Drosophila melanogaster: one gene and its partners. The gene in region 2 interacts genetically with the main gene of each other region. Each region holds a gene or a part of one and is shown on either strand. Other genes may lie near its edges. The genes, in order: Sdc, dally, Sulf1 and egg.

The links.
Region 1: of dally (region 2) and Sdc, changing one enhances a phenotype caused by changing the other (phenotypic enhancement), as found in Drosophila melanogaster (one study listed by BioGRID).
Region 3: of dally (region 2) and Sulf1, changing one suppresses a phenotype caused by changing the other (phenotypic suppression), as found in Drosophila melanogaster (2 studies listed by BioGRID).
Region 4: of dally (region 2) and egg, a change in one rescues a mutant of the other (synthetic rescue), as found in Drosophila melanogaster (one study listed by BioGRID).

The regions. Positions count from the first base shown.
Region 1 is NT_033778.4:21,477,968-21,483,179, forward strand, and holds the start of Sdc (syndecan), read right to left. Parts: upstream 3,210-5,212; 5' UTR 3,047-3,209; intron 2,412-3,046; exon of another isoform or gene 2,390-2,411; 5' UTR 2,217-2,389; coding exon 2,124-2,216; intron 1-2,123. Other genes in the region: Sara (smad anchor for receptor activation), read left to right, coding at 4,258-5,076. UniProt on the Drosophila melanogaster protein: Cell surface proteoglycan that bears heparan sulfate. Required for axonal and myotube guidance, is a necessary component of slit/robo signaling and is required in the slit target cells.
Region 2 is NT_037436.4:8,825,673-8,830,526, forward strand, and holds the start of dally (division abnormally delayed), read left to right. Parts: upstream 1-1,832; 5' UTR 1,833-2,560; coding exon 2,561-2,831; intron 2,832-4,854. UniProt on the Drosophila melanogaster protein: Cell surface proteoglycan that bears heparan sulfate. Functions as a coreceptor for growth factors and morphogens, such as the products of dpp, to regulate signaling and distribution of these ligands.
Region 3 is NT_033777.3:16,336,385-16,341,657, forward strand, and holds the start of Sulf1 (sulfated), read right to left. Parts: upstream 3,192-5,273; 5' UTR 2,927-3,191; exon of another isoform or gene 2,559-2,926; intron 2,160-2,558; exon of another isoform or gene 1,461-2,159; intron 1-1,460. Other genes in the region: SF2 (splicing factor 2), read right to left, coding at 4,270-4,378, 4,438-4,562, 4,845-5,214.
Region 4 is NT_033778.4:24,774,756-24,781,819, reverse strand, and holds egg (eggless), read left to right. Parts: upstream 1-1,918; 5' UTR 1,919-2,006; coding exon 2,007-2,945; intron 2,946-3,003; coding exon 3,004-3,121; intron 3,122-3,192; coding exon 3,193-3,476; intron 3,477-3,529; coding exon 3,530-3,785; intron 3,786-3,847; coding exon 3,848-4,353; intron 4,354-4,411; coding exon 4,412-5,173; intron 5,174-5,244; coding exon 5,245-5,961; intron 5,962-6,019; coding exon 6,020-6,226; 3' UTR 6,227-6,286; downstream 6,287-7,064. Other genes in the region: TyrRS-m (Tyrosyl-tRNA synthetase, mitochondrial), read left to right, coding at 1-20; CG3594 (uncharacterized protein), read right to left, coding at 110-862; Lcp9 (larval cuticle protein 9), read left to right, coding at 1,451-1,462, 1,519-1,785; Eps-15 (epidermal growth factor receptor pathway substrate clone 15), read left to right, coding at 6,847-6,912, 7,007-7,064. UniProt on the Drosophila melanogaster protein: Histone methyltransferase that specifically trimethylates 'Lys-10' of histone H3 (H3K9me3) in ovary. H3K9me3 represents a specific tag for epigenetic transcriptional repression by recruiting Su(var)205/HP1 to methylated histones.

The DNA of each region.
Region 1 (5,212 bases), on a different chromosome or scaffold from region 2:
GGGGGCATAACCACGAATGCCAATTTTGGCAAAAACAAGTGACAAACACCAAAAACAGGACACAAGATGGAAGGAACGGCAAAAACAAGATTACAGACTGCTTTAGATGGGTGAGAGGGGCGGGCGGGCGTTTGCGAAGGGGTAAAAGGCCATCGCACTATTTATGTGCAAGTAGTGTGTGTAGAAATTTTTCGGGCCAATAAGTCACACACCAATAAAGGCAAACAAACCAACAGGCAAGCGAACAAACAAACAAACAAACAGGCAGTGAAAGAGGCAAACACAGCCATCGAAATTGGCAATAGCCGGATGCTTTTGTTGGCAACAGACGATGCCAAAGATCATCGTGACCAGTAGCAGAAGTTGTATCAAAAACTGGCCCAGAACCCAGGCCCAAATCAAGAAGTGCTTTCCAGTGATGAGCTGTGGAAAATGCAACTGTAAACTCTTTGCGGAAAATGAAGAAAACTGGCTGTTAAATTTTTACCGTATCTCAATAGAACTTCTAATTTCGGATAATTAACTAACAAGAAAGCACGGAATGTAATAAATGTGCTAAATTACATAAAATACTTGGTGAAGATAAGAAGGAGACATTAATATTGCCCTTTGGGCTTGCGGCCTGATTCATTAGCTGGTTTTATTATCAGCCAATAAATCTTAATGTGAGTAATTGCGCTAGATAACAAGAAAAGCTGATAAGTAATCCAACTCAAGTCTTCAAATTAGTTTTTAGAATTTAAGTGAAATTATGCAGTTTAAATCCAACTTTTGCCTTCACTAATACATAAATGTCAACTTGGCAATTGTTTTAAGCAATTTACACAACTTGCCCATTAATTTAACCGGTTTTGCTAAGTTAACACCCTTTAAAAGCAGAGTTTACAATCGGTAAATCTAAATTAAACTACTCAATTAATGACAAAAATACTGTGTGATGAGTGGAAAACACCAAAGAGGCCAGTTTCGAATCTGTAAACAATTTTCAAAACAGCACATTCAGACACCAAATGATCTCATTGGGCAGAGCAGGTGATTAAAGAAAGCACGAGAGACGAATAGAAAGGAATTCGTCGGAAATTGAATCATCTCTATATCTCCGAGTAGCATTCCCCATATGAACGTGGCGGCATATCTGTTTCTGTGGCGGCACTCATCTCTCATCGCTAATGGGTAACAGTCGACAACATCGATGGATGGCTGGATGCGATGCGTTGGAGTCGATGACCATTTCGGATTTGCAGCCTTATTTGACCAGCAGCCGCCTCGTCCTCTATATCGATATCTATATCTATGTATAACTATCTATATATATATATTGCACAGTGCCGATGTCTGTGCGTCTAGTTCACTGCCATATTTATGCGTTCGCAATGCAGACGTTTTTAATGTCTTTTCTACAAGAAGCCAAGGAGTGGAGCAATGGAGCCAGAAGCTTACGGCTTACATTCATCGGGACATGGAGGCCTTTCCTCTTCATTATCTGCAGCCACAAATTGCATTCAGTGCAATGCCTTGGAGATTGACCATGCCCATGCCCGTTGCCCGTCAAGCCTCTGCCACATGGTACATGGGTATATGACACATGTATCCACCTTGGGGCTGCCGAATTTTGCATGATAAGTGCAACAACAAGAACAACAAGAACAACAGAAACAGCATTGGACAACCGCAAACCGCAAAAACAACTGAAGTGAACAAGAAATCGAACCGAACTTGGAGTTCCGAACCCTCTCAAGGTGGCGAAAATTGGGAGTTCGGATTGCTGATTGAATCTGCCTCGATTTAATTGGTAAGCAGTTACAAGCAGCAATGGGCTTACGCAACTATGCTTTTGAAAGGGGCCACTTAAATGCTCCACTTTGTGCCCAAACTGGTGGGCATGTGTATGTCGTTACAAAAGGATAGCAATGTCTAATAATGACCCATTCGTAATTAATCAAGCTGTGTGACGTATTAATATGAATAAGCATTCAATGGCCATTAAAGCCACATTAATATTATCACAAAGTCGGCTAAATTTCGGTTGGCCAGGTAAACTTGAAGTTGGCCATTGATTTTGGCTTATCTCAACGTAAACTAATAACATTTGGTAGTTTCGGGTGTAATTTTTGAGATCTTACCTGATCTTGAGCGTGGGTGGCGGCTACCAGAACTCCGATGAGAATTGCGACTAGCAATAGCGGCTCTACGGAAATCTTCTGCTTTGGCTTCATTTTCCCCGTTGGTTTCTTCTGCGGTTGCTGTTGTTGTGATTTCAGCTAATGGCTTCCAGTTTTGTTTATTGATTTAAAGATTAGAACTGGCGGCGGCACACATATATAAATATATATATTGAGCTATATATATTTCTTGCAGCTTTTTAAACTGGTTTCACACTAGAAGAACGCTGTTTAAATACACACATGAAACTATGATTATTATGATTATTTATTTTCCAGACACACACTATTCCCGATGTGTTATCAATCGAATTGCAAAACAAAAGAGATAGCGTTGGTTGGAGAGACAGGGTATTAATTAAGCATTACACACTGTAAAATTAACAACAATTTATCGTATGCGCGCGCGGCTAAAATCAAAGAAAGGAAGTAGAAGAGCGGGGGTAATAAACAAAACGTTTACGCAGAGAGAAAAACACAAAAATAAAGAGGAGACAACAGCGCAACTACTGTGTGTATTGGTGTGTGTGTGGGTGTTTTAATCGAATTCGATTTTTGTAATTTATAATTTTAAAAACATAAAATTTAACAAATTTTTCGTATAATACACTGTATTTTCCTTTTGTTTTTCTGTTTTTCCCTTTGAATCCAGAGATTTTTCAACGAAAAAAAACACGACCGCCCACCACTACAACTACACCATACGCATTCGTATTCGCTCTCCGTCTCCTCTCGCGCCCTCTCTTTCCCACTAACGCCGCTATGGCGGCTTCTTTATGTGTCTCTTTTCTCCTCTGCTTCGCCTGCCTCTTCTTTTCGTATCTTTCTGCCCGTTGTTTTGCTGCGTTTATTTTCGTTGCATTTATTTTTGCTATTTTGCGCACCTTTTCCTCTCCGTATTTACAAAATTGCACTCGCGATTCTTTTCGGGGATGTACAAATTTCTTTACACTCGAGTGCCGACCAAACAACAGACACGAAATCGCGCTAAAATCCGGACGTAACCGTGCCTTCTTCGCTCCGTAAAATTTTTTCGAATGACTTGGCCAATGTTACCAGATGCAGAAACGACTCAATTATCCAAGCTGTGCATTTCCTAAAAAATACCAATTCTTATGCTTAGCTGGGTGATGACTTAAATAGACACTCCGAAACGCGTACTCATTTAAAATTTATATATTTCTGTTACAATTTCGCGATTAAAAATGTTACTTTAACATCTTGAATTTTTTTGGTTTTATTCTTATGTTACTGTTTGTTTACATGATTTGCTTAAGATATTATTATAGAATTATTAAATGTTTGATAGGCAAATAATAATTCAATCAAATATAATTAACATTTTGAATTCATTTAAATCGGCAAGATTTCATATTTAAATGCTTATAGTATTTTTCTTGAGCTAAGCTGCGGTTACACTGATTTACACTGTTTCGGTTGCTCGTACGTTCACTGTTATTCTGTGATACTGTTAGTTCAGTTGTACAACCCAACATTTTTTTAAAAACACAGACTGGCGGCTAAAATTTCCCAGACCCAATGTTAATAGATTTGTTTGAATTCATACGCATTAATATTGAACAATTGAAGCATTCATATTCGTGTAGGACCCGACAGCTTTTACCTATTATTATTTTCAAATTTGAAAAGGTGTTACGGTTTATGTTAACATTGTAACAGTAACAGATTATAGAGAAAGATAGAACGAGATAGCATCATAAAATACTAAATGAGAAAGGTGCTAATTTGACTTAATTTTTTTTGTCTTTGCAACACTGTTTCCATGGCTATTTTTAGGCAGTTTCTTACAATGTTTTTCGTCACCGAGTTTTTGTTAATAAATTAGCGAGAAGAAAACAAAGTAAATAAGGTGATTGCAGGTGCTTAATATTGCTTATTAAAGGCGAATACGTCCTTGTTTTCCTCATTGCCTTGTTATGACTATATTCGAGGTGTGAAAAAGGTATGAATCACAAGACCGTTTTTTCTCCACATCTTTTTGTGTTGTTTTTTCTCTTTTGCGTTTTTGTGAAAATGCAAGCAGATAAACCTGGTTGGTTCAATTTTATTTAAGGTTTCTGCGGATTTGGTGGCCATGGACTTGGTGGACATTGATCAGGTTTTGGACAATCTGGAACTGAGCATTGCCGCCGATGAGCAGCTGAGTAGAAATGCAGCGGCAGCAGCAGCTGCAGGTGCAAATCCTGGCCGTTTTCTGGGCGACGGAGCAAGTGCATCGATCAGTGGAGTTGGAGCTGGCGCCGGAGTATCGGGAGCTGCGGGAGTAACACCAACACCGGCGTCTGGAAAGTCCTTTGTGGGCGTCTCTCAGGTTTTCAACAGCCTGGATGACTACAGGGAAAATGTGAAGTCCTTGCAGGTGGATGCCCAATTACCCAGCTACGACTGGCAAACGGAGGCGGAACACGAAGACGACATCCACAAGTTCAGCGAACAGGCGTCCAAAAATAACGGCCAGACGATAGTATCGTCCTCCGAATCGCTGACCACCTCATCCTGTTCCACCTTCTCGTCGGGTCCGTCGCCCGTGAGCAATGGCAGTCACTCGGAGGAGCTAGCAACGCCCCCCGAAGATGAGAAAACGAGTGAAGTTCAGGTGGAGCCAAAGGAACAGGATCAACAGCCGGAACAGGTCAAGCATGAGGACCAGCACCAAGATCAGGCTGTTCCACCGCCAACGCAATCCAAACAAACTGTAGAGGAGTTAGCAGTTGGATTGTCATCCATCTCCATCACTGCGTCCGGCACAGAATCGCAATCCCTATTGCCGGAGGAGGTCACCGCATCGTCTGTTCTCGGGCAGGTCCTCGAGGAGCTCTCGGAGGAATCGTCGCCCAGTAGAGAACCCGAAACCGAAATGACCAACGGCATAGATGTCCCATTGGCCAATTTAGTAAGTACTATTACCTTACTTTGTTTGTGTAAATGACTAATAAGTGTAGCGCATTAGTTTAAAAATATTATCAGCTTCATAAATCAATTAAGGTTATAAACTATCTTGACATATAGTATAGTTTATTAATAATGGT
Region 2 (4,854 bases):
GTTTACCTGTGCGATACAAAAATAAGGAGGAAAAAAAAACGGAAAATAAGGCGAGAGAGCGAGAAGTAAAAGGGTTTTGGTTTTGGTTTCGGTTTCGGTTTCTTTGGGACCTTCGCTCTCATCGATCGTTCCGTAGTGTACATTATAATTTATAACTTTATCTAAACGATGTGGTGGTGTTTAATTTTCGACCTCACCTTTTCCAGCTCGTTTTTGTTTTTTGTTGCCGTTTCGCCATCCCATCACCATCATCATCATCATCATCATCACGGTTGTTTCTGATGTGGATTCGTTTCATTGGAGAACTGTTTCCGCTTCGCATGACTCACTTTTCGCTGTTTGCCCCGGGGTCTTGAGTCTTCTCCTTTTTTTTTTCTTATTTTTTGGGAGGTCTTTCTTTATCGCACACTAATTTGAATAGGATTCCATTTCGTGATGAACATATCACCGGGAACGGAAAACATCCATGGGGGGTGGGAGGGCGTTTGCGCCCAGCTGGACGCCCGCAACTGACCACCATGAAGTTCCCGCTGCCCTGGCTATATAGTATCTTGTTAATGAAGAAATAGATACACAGACGCCCCGAGACGCCTAGGTATTTAAGATCGAGGTCGGTGCCCGCGGGGTGACGAGTGAAAGTCCGGGGAGAAGAGGCTGGTGTGTTCGGGTCGTGCATTGTCTGCCACACCGCTGCAGCCTCAAGACAATCGCTTCGTTTTCGCAAATTGCAAAGGGAAAAAATTAACAAAAGAAAAGAAATGAAGAAAAAAAAACAAACGATACCACCACACGTGCTGTGCGAGGTCATGACACGGCTATCAATTTGAACAGAAACATTTAGCCCTAGGGAAATAGCTGCCAAGCATCTGAGACTCTTCAAAGGCGTGAAATCTGAGCCTGCTCCACGGGTTCATCAAGCCGATCGTAAAACATAGCCTATGAAATAAAATTAGAACTCATTCAGACATCAATTAGAACCGAGCATGCAAATTTCAACCAGCGGCATCGATAAAAGCCCGGATTAAAAGCCACCGGAGCACCCGAGAAGACCACTGTGAGATGGATTGATTTACGTTGAATATGCAAATTGCAGCGAGCCAACGTTGAAAGCTTTTAGAAGAGCATTTCGAGAATTTGAATAAATATTTAGGCCCATCGGACACAGAGAAAAATAATCAGAATCAAGCCAGCTCCTGTGGCAGATGACACGGCCAGGGAAAACTCGAAGTTGGTCCTGAAGAATGCCGGAACCCATAAATAAATGCGAATCACTATTGAAATATATAAAACGAAAACAGGATATGTGTCATATCAAATTTTATGGAACTACGTAGATTCATTGGCTGTCGAAATCGTTTGGCAATCATCGAAGAGAATAGATATCTTACGAAAGCTAAGCTTGCGTTACTAACTTTAATTTCCCCTTTTACTCATACTACATGCTGTTAATAAATACAACATCTTATAAATTGTGGTTGGGCATTCCTTAATTAAAATACTTTATAATATCTAATAAGCATTACAAAGTTTGTGGTTTAGTTCGAAGCTCGTTTTCCAAAACTCTAAAGACTCAAATTAATTAATTCATTTCAGATTGCGCCCTTGTATTACTCATGTATTCTCGGCGTTAACCTGTGAATTAAATTGAGTTCGCATAAACACCTCTATTCATTGCACCACTGTGCCAACATCTGTGCTCGCCGTTCTCTTTTGTTCGAAAGAGAGCGTTCGGATGGTTCTCTTAGCGCCGATTGTCGAGTGCCGAGTGTGGTTCGTGTTCGCATCGTTAAAGTTGTAGCACTCAGGGCGGATGTTTGATTTCGATGGCAAAGTCAATCTGTTCGGGTTTCTCGTCGTGGAAGGTTCGTTGCGCGCGCGGAAAAACTGAAAATATCGGTGCGAAATTCGAGCGGAAAAACGCTAGAAAAGAAGGCGAGTGCATTTCCTCGACCTGAGAACGCCGGTGGCCAAGGAGCTTTGCAATTAAATCTATTTTCGCCGACCTAAGTACACAAAACGTAGGAGAAAATTAAAAAGAAGAAAAAAAAAACAAATCTAATCGCTGGCAAATCAATTGCTAAGGAATTGAGTACTATTCGTTGTTATGTCATGGAAAGTCTCTGAATAAGTTAAGAAAATACTTGTGAGAAATTTAGCGACCTTTCAAAACTAGAAAGTAGAAAAGCAAAAAGTGCTAGACACGCGCTCTCTCTTCGACCACCACCCACCACCACCCACTATCGCCATCCCACGTTTACTACCACGTTTATTGCTCACGCGTGTTTTTGGGGCCTTTTGTTTTGTGCGCTCGTGTTTGTGGCCGTGTGTGCCAGTGTGTGTGTGTGCGTGTTAGCCGGCAAGTGCATTTGTGTGAGTGTGTGTGTTTGTTGCCGCGAACAGCTGTTCACCCAGACAGCATGCAGAAGTAAATACGAAGAAGTGCTGCAAAATAGAGTAAATAAAATAACCGGCTAAAATAAAAATAAGAGAAGCATTCAAAGGCAAATCAAATTTAGCCCCATCATCCACTGTGTCTGCACACAGAAATCACCCATCAAAAATGGCGGCCAGGAGCGTGCGGCTAGCGCAGCTTTTGCTATTTACCCTGCTCTGCGGCTTCGTCGGCCTGTCAGCCGCCAAGCACCTGGACCTGGATGGTATCCACCACCACCAGCACCACCTGCACAGCGCCACCACGCACCACAGACGTCGCCTACAGCGGGACTCGCGGGCGAAGGACGCCGTTGGGGGATCGACCCACCAGTGTGATGCCGTCAAGAGCTACTTCGAATCGATCGACATCAAGTCGAGTGGGACTTACAGCGAAAAAGGTAAAGTTCACGCCATCCATCCGTAGAGTTATAATATCGAGTATGCACTTGGACATGCGGGCTGGGGAAGAAGCGGGGAACGATGGAGGAAGTTAAAGCTACCAATATGGTTAAGGCCCCTTAGGAGCAAACGTACTAACTTTAAACTATGCAGAGGAAAACGTATGTTATTTCCCCAGGTCACTAGAGTGGTTCGAATACTTAAAGTCTAAGTTATCTACTCCATTAAATAAGAAAGAGGTACATAAATTGGGATTATTGATAATGGTTTTTCAATTTAATTACTTTTGCATCCTCTCCGTTTAAAAACATTTCTTTTGCGGGAAATTCATTGCCTTGATTTCAGAGTTTGTCTTAACCCTCGCCTCGCCATCAGTCTTCCATACTTCAACCAAGTAAATCGCGCGTCAGCCAAAGTTTTTGCCATCCCGCAGCTGCAGTTTCTCTTATTTCTAGTCCGTTCTAGACCCCATCCGCTTCTCAATCCCCGCCAGAAACTAGAAGCATATGCAAATTCATTGAACTGAGTGAAACCCTCGAGCGGGCAGCCACTCGAGGCGAACTATGACCACTCGAACAGCCGGGCGCCGTTTGCAATTAGAAGATTGCGCATTGAGCAACGCCTCGGAAAAGTTTTCGACGTGCCGTGGATAAAGTTTTTGGCCGCGCCAGGTTCATTACATATCGGATCTGGCACCTCGCAGATGCAGAGATACATAGATACACAGGCGGCGGCATCATTTGTTATTCTGATTTCTCGACACTGCCATATCAAGTGGCACGCATCTGAGGCCAAACTGTGTGAAGGCTATGGAAGGTATATTTATATTTACCACAGCCGATATCCACAAGATACTCGACATATTTTTGTTTATGCATATTTCATACCCGAAGTCAAAAATAAGACCGAATAACCAAATAATGCAATACAATCCGATAATATCAGTCGAAAACGAGCGAATGTACCCAATATATATCTGTTTCGTGTAATTGAGTGAAAAATAATTATTATTGATTAGCCGACCTTGACTTGGTATTTACGCGTTTACGCACAATTACATGATACACAGCCGCAAACTCGACTGGAATACAAATGTATCTGGCGATGATGTTGCAACTTTTCCCTCCAATGCTTACCTGTCTGCAGAGGTTCTCGGTTCTCTTTGCTCATTCTGTTCAGTCGTTCCCACACGCAGGTAGTTAACGCCAAGAAGAACTATCTATGAGATACATTGCTGAGCAGACCGCATTGCCATGGCATCAAAGTGTGAAGAACCGAATAGCCAACCGAGAGTTGGCGTTACAAGTGCATGTTTGTGTGTCCCAGAGACTTATCCACCTGAATGCCAGAATGCCCAATTGAACTGGTAGCTGGAAGTTATTAGCGCTGGCTTTGAGGAATTTCAATTTGGCTAATGCCAGGCGGCGTATCTCCGATCAGCACCTATGTATGTATCTCTGTATCTCTGGTCGTTGCTCCTGCTTAAGTATGCCGAACCTTGTTTTCGACATTTATTTACTGTTTACATAGTTCCACTTGCGCCTGCCTCCGCCTCCGTAGAATTTATGCCCCGCCAATGTATCTATGTATATCTGTTAATGTATCTGTATCCGTACAGTACGTATCCGTATCTCCATCTATATCTCTTTCTGTTTGCTCTGGAGTGTGTTACTTTTACGTTTATGTGCTGTTTGTGATGCTAATCTCTCGTCGGTGCCATGCATACGATATGTTTCTCCCGATTTGCTTTTGCCGTGCAGTTCCCGGTAGAGGCGCTCGGCATAAAACTAAATTTTAATTTAATTGCGCACACCACTCGACTGCTAATTGAGTTGGCTTTGCTTTTGGGCCAAAAAAAAAAAACAGTATTACTCCGTGCCTATTAAAATGAACATTAACATTGGCGCGTTACAAAGACGCACAGGAAGTCGTAGCTGCAGTATCTAATCGTATCGCACAGTATCTGTATCTGTTTACCTGCAAGTATCTGTAGTATCTGTATCTATGCTTAAGGCATAGCAG
Region 3 (5,273 bases), on a different chromosome or scaffold from region 2:
AAATACAAGGTACTTCAATGCAAACAAATCTGTACGAAACTGAAATACCCTTAAGACATACTATTAAATTTAAATTTTTTAAGCTTGTAGCGCATTTTTCAAGCTTTCGAAATGAATTCCCTGAAACTATGGGACACCATTTTTTGCAGAATTGCAGAGATATTATTTCTTCTATATAAACAAAAAATTATCTTATCTGTTGATGTTGCGACTTAATCATATCATCTAGCAAACAAATCTTTTGTTTTACTTCGAATTGCCAGTTAAGGCAAAAAGTTGTCTTGCTATTGGGTATCTGGTATTATTTAAAAATTCCCACAATTAGTCAGCAATCGGTAAATTTTAAGGGTGGTTTCGTTATACGCATTAAATTAAATTTCCTCCAAGCGATTAGTGAATGGACCCGGTCCAAAAGGCAAGGCACAACAGGCAAACAACAATTAACATAAATTGCTTACGCGATGCGGCCCATTGAGTGCCGGCAACAAGGGGTTAAGGGGTCACAGTTGCCGCCCGTCAATCATTCGGTCAAACGAACAGCGGCACTTGAATGGTCGAGCGAAAAGGGTTTCCCATTTCCACGGCTGCCAGTTGCCAGTTGCCAGTTTCCAGTTGCGGTTCGCTCCAGCGGAAACTTCAGAATGCACCTGTCGCAAGGCGGCGGTAGGTGTGATAAGCATCTCATCACAACAAAAGATTAACACGCCGGGGAGGACAAAGAGCAGAGCCCGGTCATATGGGCAGGTCTCCGATTAGAGACGCACAAGGGATTCAAACGAGCTGCCTGCACACATATGCACTGCTACAAATAACTAGCAAGAAATGTATGGAACCCTAGATACAATGTATACTCATAATACAATTAAACTGGATTCTAAAAATTGCTGCTGAATATGGATGCTTATTTTACACACATAATTGTATATTGATGCTAGGTGTTCCTACAGACAGCTCAAGTTTTCTCACAGTGGTTGCTTAGATGAACAGGAAACCGACGGGGAGGAGACCTTGAAGACCCTACGCAGGTTGTATTGCAAGCAGTTAGTTAGGTAGTAGGTAGCCACAAGGCAACACCTCTGGCTTGACAGATCGAGTTACCAAAGAAGCACCCTACTCCTAAGTGGGTCACATTACCAATGTCAAACGATCGAAGCCAAGCCTTACTTTCACTCAGGAATATTGAGGAAGTGCTGTTGAACAGTCGGTAGAACAAAGACCAAACAAGTTGGGATGCCTGATGAGGACCACAAACGACTAGTATCGCATGATTTGCTTGGATCAGTCGATCTTCCCCCCGTAAAACTAATTTCAAGTTATGATCAATAAAAAAACCTTTTAAGTTTCAAGCGAGAACAATGACTCCTAGGGGGAATTCGCTGATGCTGCGCTTTCAATAGCCAACTTTAATGATCTCAGCAGTTCCGTGGGCATGCAAAACATCCATAAAATGCACTTCTTACCTCAGGCTATATCTAAATATATATATATATCTGTTTAAACTTCCAGTAGTTGTAGTTTTAACACACTATTGCGATTGTGATCATGAGCGCTGTCTACCGATTATTTGGACACTTCAGCTTCTATTTATAGTTCGCGTCGTGCCGAGCGGCTTCGAATTAGGTGATAAACCCGGTAATTGGTTGTACAATCGCGATCGATTAATAGCTTCCTCAGTCCCACTGACTATCCCCAGATGGGTAGTACCGTCCGATCCGGTAGAGTTCAATAAAACTGGAGCCGAACAAGGCGGAGATAAGCTGGATACACCGCCACAAAACACAATTCATAAACGAAGGGCCGGCTATCTGGGCCGATATCTTCTCCTTCAGCTGTCGAAAGACTGCCCACGAAATTGCACTTTCCGAATTATTTGTTATTCATTATTACGTGGGTTAGCAATTTTGACATGCAATTCGTACTTTCAACAGGGTTTCTACGGGTTTTCCGAACTTTTGGCGCACTTTTCTCGTGTCAGATGGTTGGTTTAGAAATTCTACGCTACTTTTATTTTACAGCGCGCGTTAGCTTAGTACGTAAATATAAATTAAAATCCGTATGCGACCAGTTCGTTCCGTTCGAAATTATAAAAAACAACAAACACAGAGCAGTTCCCACGCGCGTCCGAACAGCTGGTGAATATTTTTTGAAAAACCCAACAACAAAATGCGCGTGTTGCTTATATAGTTTGTTTGCCAGTGTGGCCGTGCTGCAAAGTGACCAAAAATCGTTTTTCGCACAGAGAAATCTGGTATTTTGCGTTAAAACAATACGGTCATCATTGCCCTAATAACAGTCCTCTGTAAAAATCCATAAGCGGGAAGTTTAAAATTGATTCGGAATGCAAAGGTTGTGAAATCCAGAACAGAAGTCTTTCCTGCAGATAATACAAGCAAACTTAATTTGTAATCTTCATAAGTACAGGAACATCCCATAAACACAAATACCTGCTACACGAGTCTAGCAGTCTAATTTTAAGCTCATAATCTCAGCAAGATAAATTGCTAAAAGTATTTGATTGCACCCATCTTATAATGTTGTATTAAAAGCATGACATTTTTCTTAATTTTTATGAATATTTATTGTAAATGTGTATTTCATTTCAAAAATATGTTAGAACTATGGCTTATATGTTGATCGATAAGCAAGGAGAACGAGAGAACTGTTCTGTTCCAAAATTGCTGTGGTATTACTTTTTATTAGGTTAACGAAAGTTCATGCAAATGATGCGGGTGTGGGCTATAGTCGGGGCCTATGAATTTTCGCCCTTCTATTCAAAAAAAATGAAAAACAAAACGCACACGCGACAATCGCCACATTTCAGAGGCAACAATATCAATGGAGACGAAAGATTTGGGTAAAGAGTATATAAATTATAAACTAAATAACGCAAATTAAAAGTTAAATTTGATGTGGCAATCTAACATACCACAGAGAGGCGAGACAGAGGGAGACCGGAACGCATCGGATCGGACCAGACCAAGAACCACTATCCACTATCCAGCGTTGGGCGCAAGTCAACGTTGGATGATGCACAGCAAATCCGTGAAATGACAACGACAGGGGCGCGAAGGCCACGAAATACGCGGTTCCCTGGGTGAGCTAGTTTCTGAAGTGCGATCCAAAGAAGGCGACAACAAAGCGTGTGAGCCTGTCCAAGCGAATCCTAATCCCGACCGTTAGGCAGATGCCGAAGAAGGGGCGAGGCTCGAAGAGATGCGGCCGAGTCCGAAACTGTATGATTTAGTCCTGTCCAAGGGCAACGCAAGTGTTCCTCACCGTCAACGATGCCATCGACATTCTCCTCCTCCAAACATCCGTTAACCTGAACACGACCAAAGTTCACACATAAAATCCTTCAACAATGCGAAATTCCTGTCTCCTCCTCCTCCGAGGTGCGAGTTAGCCATGGGACACTGCATCCCACGTTGTCCTAGCGAAGGGCTCAGAACAATCCTAAATCCAAATCCAATCCTGATTACAATCAAATAAATATTTTCATATTTATAAGATCTATAGACAGGTCCTGCCTCCACTAAATTCAATCCAAATTTATCCAATCCACGCCAAAATCAACATCAAAATATCCTCCTCCACATCCATTAATCCTCATCCTCCACATCCTCATCACTCTCCAAACATAAACGCGCAAAATGGGGAAGAGAAGAAAATAAAAATTAAAGTATTAATAGTTTGCTTATCAATGTGGTTGACATTGCGTTGTGTTCGGATTTCTGTTTCTTTTCTTTATCTCATTACAAACATATTTATTCTGTATCGATGTTTCTTGTTTTCGTTAAGGTAGATTCTAATAAATTAGCTTGGAAAACGTGCAGCCAAAATAAGAGTTATAATATAATATGTAGGAAGCAGACTGAGCAAAGGCTCAAAAGATAATCAAAAGCAAATCAAGGAATGCCGAGTGCTTTTGGCCAAAGAGAATTCCTTGGTTTACAGTTGTCATTTTAGAACTGTTTTTGTCAAATTTTGCCCGGTGGATTATAACTTAAGAGAACATTTCTGCTTCTTAGAACGTGTGATAAGTTGGAAAAGCAAGTGTTTTTCTTTTTTAAGTATGTTGGCTTCGGTGAGAGTTCGGAACTTGACTGAACAAACTTGATTGGTCGTTGATTTCATTTTACAAATCAATTTACAATTGGGGTATTTGAGGGGTCTTGAACAAATATTGATTGGTATTTCCTAATATAGCTTGCTTTTCCTGTTTCCTGCTCATTAAAATATTATAGATTAATGGATAATGCTTGGTTGTGTTTAATAGTTAGAACGTGAGCGAGACCTGGAATAAGATTGACGTCGCACTGGGGAGTATGTGGGAGTGCCACGACGGCGCGGCCTCGACGAGAATGAGCGCGAACGGGATCTGTGGAGGGATTCATAGAATAAATATTGAAAAATGAACTGTGGTAATATTTGGTTTACCTGTCGCGGTAGTCACGGCTTCCACCTCCGCCGCTGCCGCCACCACCTCCACCGCTGCCGCCACCACCACCGCCTCTGTCGTTATCACCGCTATCCTCGCGTACGCGAATGTAGGCAACCTCGCCCTAAAGACAATAAAAATATTAATATCATTTGAATAATGTCGCCAAACTATTTTTCAAAATGTAAACAGGAATGTGAACTAGATGTTTATCAAATTGACACATTTAAGGGCGTAAGTGTAAGCATCTACACCAATATAACTTAATGTTATTCCTGAAATCATATTTAATTATTCCAGCCTGTGAATAATGTATGCTGACAAAATAAATGCAAAAGTAAATTCTCTACCTTGAAACCCGAATACATTTGAATTTTACAAAGTTGGAACTGGACAATTTACATACCTCATGCGATCGGAAGCGAGAGTCGTCCAATTTTTTGATTGCGTACTTCATGTCCTCGTGGCGCAGGAACTCAACGACGCCGGAACCATCCTTGTAAGTGTCCGCGAAGCAGACGTCGCCGGCCTCGCGCATGTGATCCTTGAGATCTTGCCACGATCCGGAGGCGGGCAGTCCAGTAACCATGACGCGGTACTGCGAGCGCTTGGCTGGCGGTCCGCGTCCGCCCATCCGTCCCCCACCGTCGCGGCTTCGGTCATTGCGGTTGCCGCCGCGGTAGCTTCCAGGACCACCGCCCCGCGGGAACTCCACGCGCAGACGATACCCATCGTAGTCGTAGCCGTCGCGCGCCTTCACCGCATCGTCGGCATCCCTAAATTGGGCCAAGAGGCAGCCGGAGGATATGGACCATGGTCAAGGAAGGAAGAGAAG
Region 4 (7,064 bases), on a different chromosome or scaffold from region 2:
ATATTGTGCGCTGGCAATAGTTAACAGTAAACCTCTTATCCGGTAATGTTAACTTTTAATTGTTGTTAAATAATCATAGAATGGCTTACATTGTAAGAACTTATGCTATTTATGTGGGTCTGGGGGCGGGCTTTTTGCGCCACCGCTTTCGCGCCAGCATTTCCTTGGCCTTCTCCTTTTTCAGGTCCTTGTCGTAAAACTTGCCGCTCTTCGTGAAGGTCTTCTGCTCGTTGCGCATCTCGGCCAGCTTTCGGTTCTTCTGTTTGATGATGTTCTTCTTGTTGGCCGACTTCTTCTTGCCCGCCTCGGAGATCTGCACCTTGATGTTGCGTCCCTGCAGCTCTGTGTTGTGCAGCTGGAAGGCATTCTGGAAACTGCTTAGGTCGGCCATTTCCACAAAGGCGAAGCCCCCTCGTCGCTTCTTGGGAATGCGGATAGACTTGACCGTGCCTGCCGCAGAGAAGTGCAGCTCCAGGTCGTCCTTTGTGGTTTCGAAGTTCAGGTTCGTCACGTACAGGACGTGTCTGTTGGTTTTGGAGGCTCCTCGAAGCAGTGAACTCAGCTGGTCACTGGTTATCTGCCCATTTTCCGCAGATTCCTCTTCCTCGGCTCCGGAAGCAGCACTGCCCTCAGCGGCTGCCTCGTCGTCGGACTTGGCCTCATCCTCGCTCTTACTATCCTCCGGGTCACTGGGATTCCGTCCGTCCTCCTTGTCCACATACGTGCCCTCGAAGATCTCCCTTCGCTTCTGGTCATCGAAGTTTCCCAATAGATCCGCACTGTCGTCGTTGACTGTGCGTTGAACTCGCTTGGGATTGAAGAAAGCCTCCACCTCATAATCGCTGCCAGAATCACTGGCCATCGTGATATTTCTGGGGGAGATTGCAGTGCACACCGATACGCAGACACCACCACGTGGGATTCCCTCTGAATGGCAAATCTGTGCGGTCCCAGACATTTTCCAGCACTGGCTAATTGCGCGCCAAGAAATTCAAATCCCAGGCCATATTGCAATCGCAGCTTGTTAGAAACCGGTTGCAACTGCGGGAGCAAAATCAGACTGCTAATGGAGTTATGCGAAAATAATGCTAATCGGCGTTAGCATCGAAGGAACCGGTTAGCTCTTATCAGCTAAAAATTAATCGTGCGGTGCTGACAATTGATGAACGTGGTTGTTTTGGGAATCTTCCGCACAGATCTCCAAAGATAACCCCCCGAATATGATATGCCGAGTGGGGCGATAATTAATGCCTGCAGAATGACTGCATCTATGTCTTTTGTTTAATTAAGACAAACGACCGCTGGGAGCCAGTTATGAAGAAAATTTATGCAGTTGGTGATTCCGGCCGGTAAAATGTCAGTGGAGAGCTACATATAAAAGCGCAATTTTCGGCAACCAGCAGTCAAAATTTTATCGCTATCTATCAGCACACACATCCCCTTTCCAACCATGAAGTTTGTGGTAAGTGGCATCGAAATTAGATTTTGGGGACCTCTGAACAACGATTTGTCTTTTAGATCGTTCTTGCCTGCCTTTTGGCCGTGGTCTTCGCCAACGAGGAGGCTGATGTTGTAAAGAGCGACTCCGAGGTTAACTTGCTGGACTTTAACTACGCTTATGAGCTATCCAACCATATTCGCGCCGTGCAAACTGGAGCCTTGAAGGAGCACGACAACTGGGTGGTTTCCGGGGAGTACGAGTACGTGGCCCCCAACGGCAAGACCGTCAAAGTGGTCTACACCGCCGATGAAACCGGCTACCACCCAAAGGTCGTCGAGGCCTAATGAACAGGACCCACTCCCGAAGACCGAAATAAAAAATTAAATCCATTGCAGCAGCGAACATTTTGAATTTCCGTTCTTTTTCTTTTGTGTGAATAGACACTCTTCTTCTTTCTGCCACTAAAATCTAGGGCTGGCAAATTACGAGCGAAATTTTATACAATGTTATCGCTTGTCTCGCAAATTTGCATTAATGTGTAAAGTTAAGTAAACTCATTAAAACTATGTCTGGGCAGCCAACAGCCGTGGACTGCTTAGAGAGCAGTGGAAGCACAGTGGAGGATGTCCAAGAAACACCGGCGTCGAGGGAAAAAAGTTACGGGTTGCCGGTGCGCAAAGGAGAAAATAGCTTGGAGTCTCCTGCAGAACAAGCCGCAAAGGATGTGGAAATTGAGGAACTGACACACAGTGAAGCAATCGCCGCCACCGGTTCAACCAGGAAGCAGTGCCCATATGGAGGTAAGGCCCCTGATGAACCTGGAAAGTTGGCCGACGAATCGGAGGACCGCAAGGGAGAGAACACGAAAGCCATTGCAAGCAGCCCGGTTTTGGTAGCTGTGGATTCGGACAGCAGTGTTGAGCTAATAGAGAGTCCTGTCAAATTCTCCTCCGCCAACGAAAGTGAGAAAGATCCGCCAAAACCAGATGCTGTCAATGAAGCTGCGGCTAAAGAGGCCGAGGAAATGACTGATAGCAGCATCAGCAGTCCCACATCCGAAAGTTTTCCTGAAAAAGATGAAAAGACCAATAAGGAAAATGAGCAAGAACCTCCTGGCATGGAGGTAGATCAGGACGTCGAGGAGTCAATAAGTCGACCAGCAGAAGAATACAAAATTGAGAATACATTAAAAGGTCACAAGCGTATTAGCTTAACGGAAATCGAAGAACACAAAATTGTTGATAAAAAAGACGATGTCCTAGAGGTGGAGCTTGAAAAGGGCACTGCTCCGAAAGCTGCAGAAGACGAGAAGCTGAACGCTTTGTTATCAGATGGAGATGTCTTCTACGACAAGGAATGTGTCAACTGCAATTGCACAAAGCTTCATAAACAGTACGTGTTGGCTAACATGGCCACTTTAAACTTTTACCAGGTGCTCCGAAAGTCTTCCAAGCAGCAGTTCCTCTGCATGGGATGCCATGACACAGCAATGGACTTGTATGAGGTCAACTAGCATATTTATTAACTTAAGAGGGAAACTTAGAACGTATTTCTTTATTTAGGAGTATGCTGGACAACTAATGGCCAAGCAGCCGCTGCTGCTAAAGGATTTCCATCAGGATCACGCCGACTTTGTGGCTCTGGACAGCAGCGATGAGGAGGAAGAGGAGAAGCAGCCAGGTGAGACTGCTATCATGATAAATAAACAATAGCAAAAAAAAAAACGTACTAAATATATTTTATCCGCACAGAAAAATCGGACTTTTCGAAAAACAAGCTGCAGCTCATCGAAGATGAACTCGATGATGCCATCAAAAATGTACTTAACAAGGTGGATTTTACGGCTCAGCTGTCCTGGTCAAAAACTATTCTCCAGGCGAAAGCAGACCACTTGGAGCGACAATTCGCACTGGCAGATGTGGAACTCGAAAAAGTTCAGACCACCGCTGACAAAATGCACTGCGCTTTGTATAACTCGTGTCCGGTGGCACACAAACATCTGCCCACCCTGGACATTGAACCCAGTGACTATGTGGTAAGTAAGAAGTGATGCCGTTTGGATCTGATTTAATACAACCATTTACTCAGCATGAAGTTCCACCTCCTGGCGAAATCGTGCGTCCTCCAATACAGTTGGGAGAGACATACTACGCTGTTAAGAACAAGGCTATTGCCAGCTGGGTGTCCATAAAGGTAATCGAGTTTACAGAGAGCACCGCCATCAACGGAAACACGATGAAGAGCTACAAGATTAGGTACCTCAACACTCCGTACCAGATGATCAAGACAGTGACGGCCAAGCACATTGCCTACTTCGAACCACCGCCAGTGCGACTGACCATTGGTTAGTTCCCAATAGACCGGTTATTTATCAATCTATAAACTAACCCACTCATTGTGCACTAGGTACCCGCGTGATTGCGTACTTCGATGGCACCACTTTGTCGCGGGGCAAGGATAAGGGCGTGGTGCAGAGCGCCTTTTATCCAGGCATCATCGCTGAGCCGTTGAAGCAGGCCAATCGCTACCGCTACCTAATATTCTACGACGATGGGTACACTCAGTACGTTCCGCACCGCGATGTCCGTCTAGTTTGCCAGGCTTCCGAGAAAGTGTGGGAGGACGTACACGCCGCATCGCGCGATTTCATACAGAAGTACGTGGAGAAGTACTCCGTGGATCGTCCAATGGTGCAATGCACCCGGGGACAAAGTATGACCACTGAATCGAACGGGACCTGGCTGTACGCGCGCGTCATTGACATCGACTGCAGCTTGGTGTTGATGCAGTTTGAGGGCGACAAAAACCATACGGAGTGGATATACAGGGGTTCATTGCGCTTGGGTCCTGTCTTCAGGGAAACCCAGAACAATATGAACAGTTCAAGCGCACAGCAGCTGCGTGTCCCAAGAGTAAGCATCGTGTCGATTCATCCTGCGGTCCTAACTACAAAATGTCTTTCTTTTTCAGCGCACGGAGCCCTTTATTCGGTACACCAAGGAGATGGAGTCCAGCAGCAAGGTGAACCAGCAGATGCGTGCCTTTGCCCGCAAGAGCAGCGCCTCCGCCCAAAATAACGCATTAGCGGCTGCATCTTCGGCAGCAACCCCAGCCGGAGGACGCACCAATGCAGGAGGTGTCAGCACCAGTAATAGCGCAAGTGCTGTGCGACACCTAAACAACTCGACAATCTACGTGGACGACGAGAACAGGCCCAAGGGCCATGTAGTCTACTTTACAGCCAAGCGGAATCTGCCTCCCAAAATGTACAAGTGCCACGAGTGCAGCCCGAACTGCCTCTTTAAGATCGTTCACCGTCTGGACAGCTACAGTCCGTTAGCGAAGCCTCTGCTTTCTGGCTGGGAACGTCTTGTCATGCGGCAGAAGACCAAGAAGTCTGTGGTATACAAGGGACCTTGTGGCAAAAGCTTGCGCAGCCTGGCCGAAGTTCACAGGTACCTTCGAGCTACTGAAAATGTGTTGAACGTAGACAATTTTGACTTTACGCCCGACCTCAAGTGTCTGGCCGAGTACTCCATTGATCCCTCGATCGTGAAGGACACGGACATTTCAAAGGGGCAGGAGAAGATGGCGATTCCGCTGGTAAACTACTACGACAACACCCTGCCGCCCCCATGCACCTACGCGAAGCAGCGCATCCCTACCGAGGGTGTTCATCTGAATCTGGACGAGGAGTTCCTCTTGTGCTGCGACTGCGAGGACGACTGCTCGGTAAGACGTCTTACAGATCTGATTACCTCAAATTATACCCAGCCGCCCACTATTTTGTGTATCCCTATCAGGACAAGTCAAAGTGCGCCTGTTGGCAGCTAACGGTGGCGGGCGTGCGGTACTGTAACCCGAAGAAACCCATCGAGGAGATAGGCTACCAGTACAAGCGGCTCCACGAGCACGTGCCCACCGGCATCTACGAGTGCAACTCGCGCTGCAAGTGCAAGAAGAATTGCCTGAACCGGGTGGTGCAGTTCTCCCTAGAGATGAAACTGCAGGTGTTCAAGACCTCAAATCGTGGATGGGGCTTGCGCTGCGTTAACGACATCCCCAAGGGTGCTTTCATCTGTATTTACGCCGGCCATCTGCTCACGGAGACGATGGCCAACGAAGGCGGACAGGACGCCGGCGACGAGTATTTCGCGGACTTAGATTACATAGAGGTCGCTGAACAGTTAAAAGAGGGATACGAGTCGGAGGTGGACCACTCGGACCCGGACGCCGAGGAGGACAACGGGGGACCCGATGCCGAGGACGATGACGACTTCCGGCCAAACTATCACTACCAGCGCAAAATCAAGCGCTCTTCCAGAAGCGGCTCCACGCAGAACAGCTCCACTCAGAGCAGCGAGTTGGACTCGCAGGAGCGTGCGGTGATCAACTTTAACCCAAATGCTGATCTGGACGAGACGGTGCGGGAGAACTCGGTGCGGAGGCTTTTCGGCAAGGACGAGGCGCCCTACATCATGGACGCCAAGACAACGGGCAACCTTGGACGCTATTTCAACGTGAGTTGGAAGTTTTTTGTTATTTTGCCGTGTGGCTGATTCTCTTCTTCTCCCGCAGCACTCGTGCAGCCCCAATCTCTTCGTGCAGAACGTGTTCGTGGATACTCACGACCTGCGTTTCCCCTGGGTTGCCTTCTTCTCGGCCGCGCACATCCGCTCCGGCACCGAGCTGACTTGGAACTACAATTACGAGGTGGGCGTGGTGCCCGGCAAGGTGTTGTACTGCCAGTGCGGGGCCCCCAATTGCCGCCTTCGTCTGCTCTAAGTTCTAGCTTAAGTTAGAGATCCATACAGGAAATATACTCATTAAAGAAGAATTAGAATTAAAAATTTAAACTTTAAACATTATCTGTTCCGTTAGGGTAACGGAAACATTGCATTTTTATAAGCTACTGCTGTTCTGCACCGTCCGTTTCAAAGTACACAATTTTCTTCACGTTTAGTGTTAAAGGAATAAATATAGACAAATGAATTTTAAAAAATTATACTTTAAAAAAATAATAATGTTCGTTAATTTAACGGTATTAATTTATGTGGTATTTTAACGCATTTTACCTAGTGGTATACTTAATCATCAGCCGTACGGTATTTTTAATCGTTATCCGAACGGTCACACTATCCACCGAGCAAAAAAGCAAATTTAGGCTTTTTAAAATTCGAGAGTAGCTAAATTAGGGGCCGCAATGCGCCAAGCTCACCTGTAAGTGGCTCCAGCAAGTGTCTCGTCGCAGGTGCACAGGTGCTAGGCAGCAGGACTCCGCCGACGGCTGACTAAGAGCAGCTTATCCGCCCCTTGGGAAGAAAAAATCGATTTTGTGATAACGGGCTTACGCTTACGCGTTTTTGCACTGCTAGTCGGAACCAATTGCCAGTAGACTCCACACCATGAATGTGGACTTTGCGAGGGTGTGCGGGAAGCACATAGGCGTCTACGAGGCCTACTACAAACTGGTAAGCGCACCACGCCTCCAAGCCGCACTGTTACCAGGATGGCGGCCAATGTTGAGCATCCGTATCCACACCCACCCTCTATCGATTTTTGCAGATTGACCCCAAAGGCACAGGGGCAATCGAGGCCATGACTGCGGCCAAGTTTCTCAAGA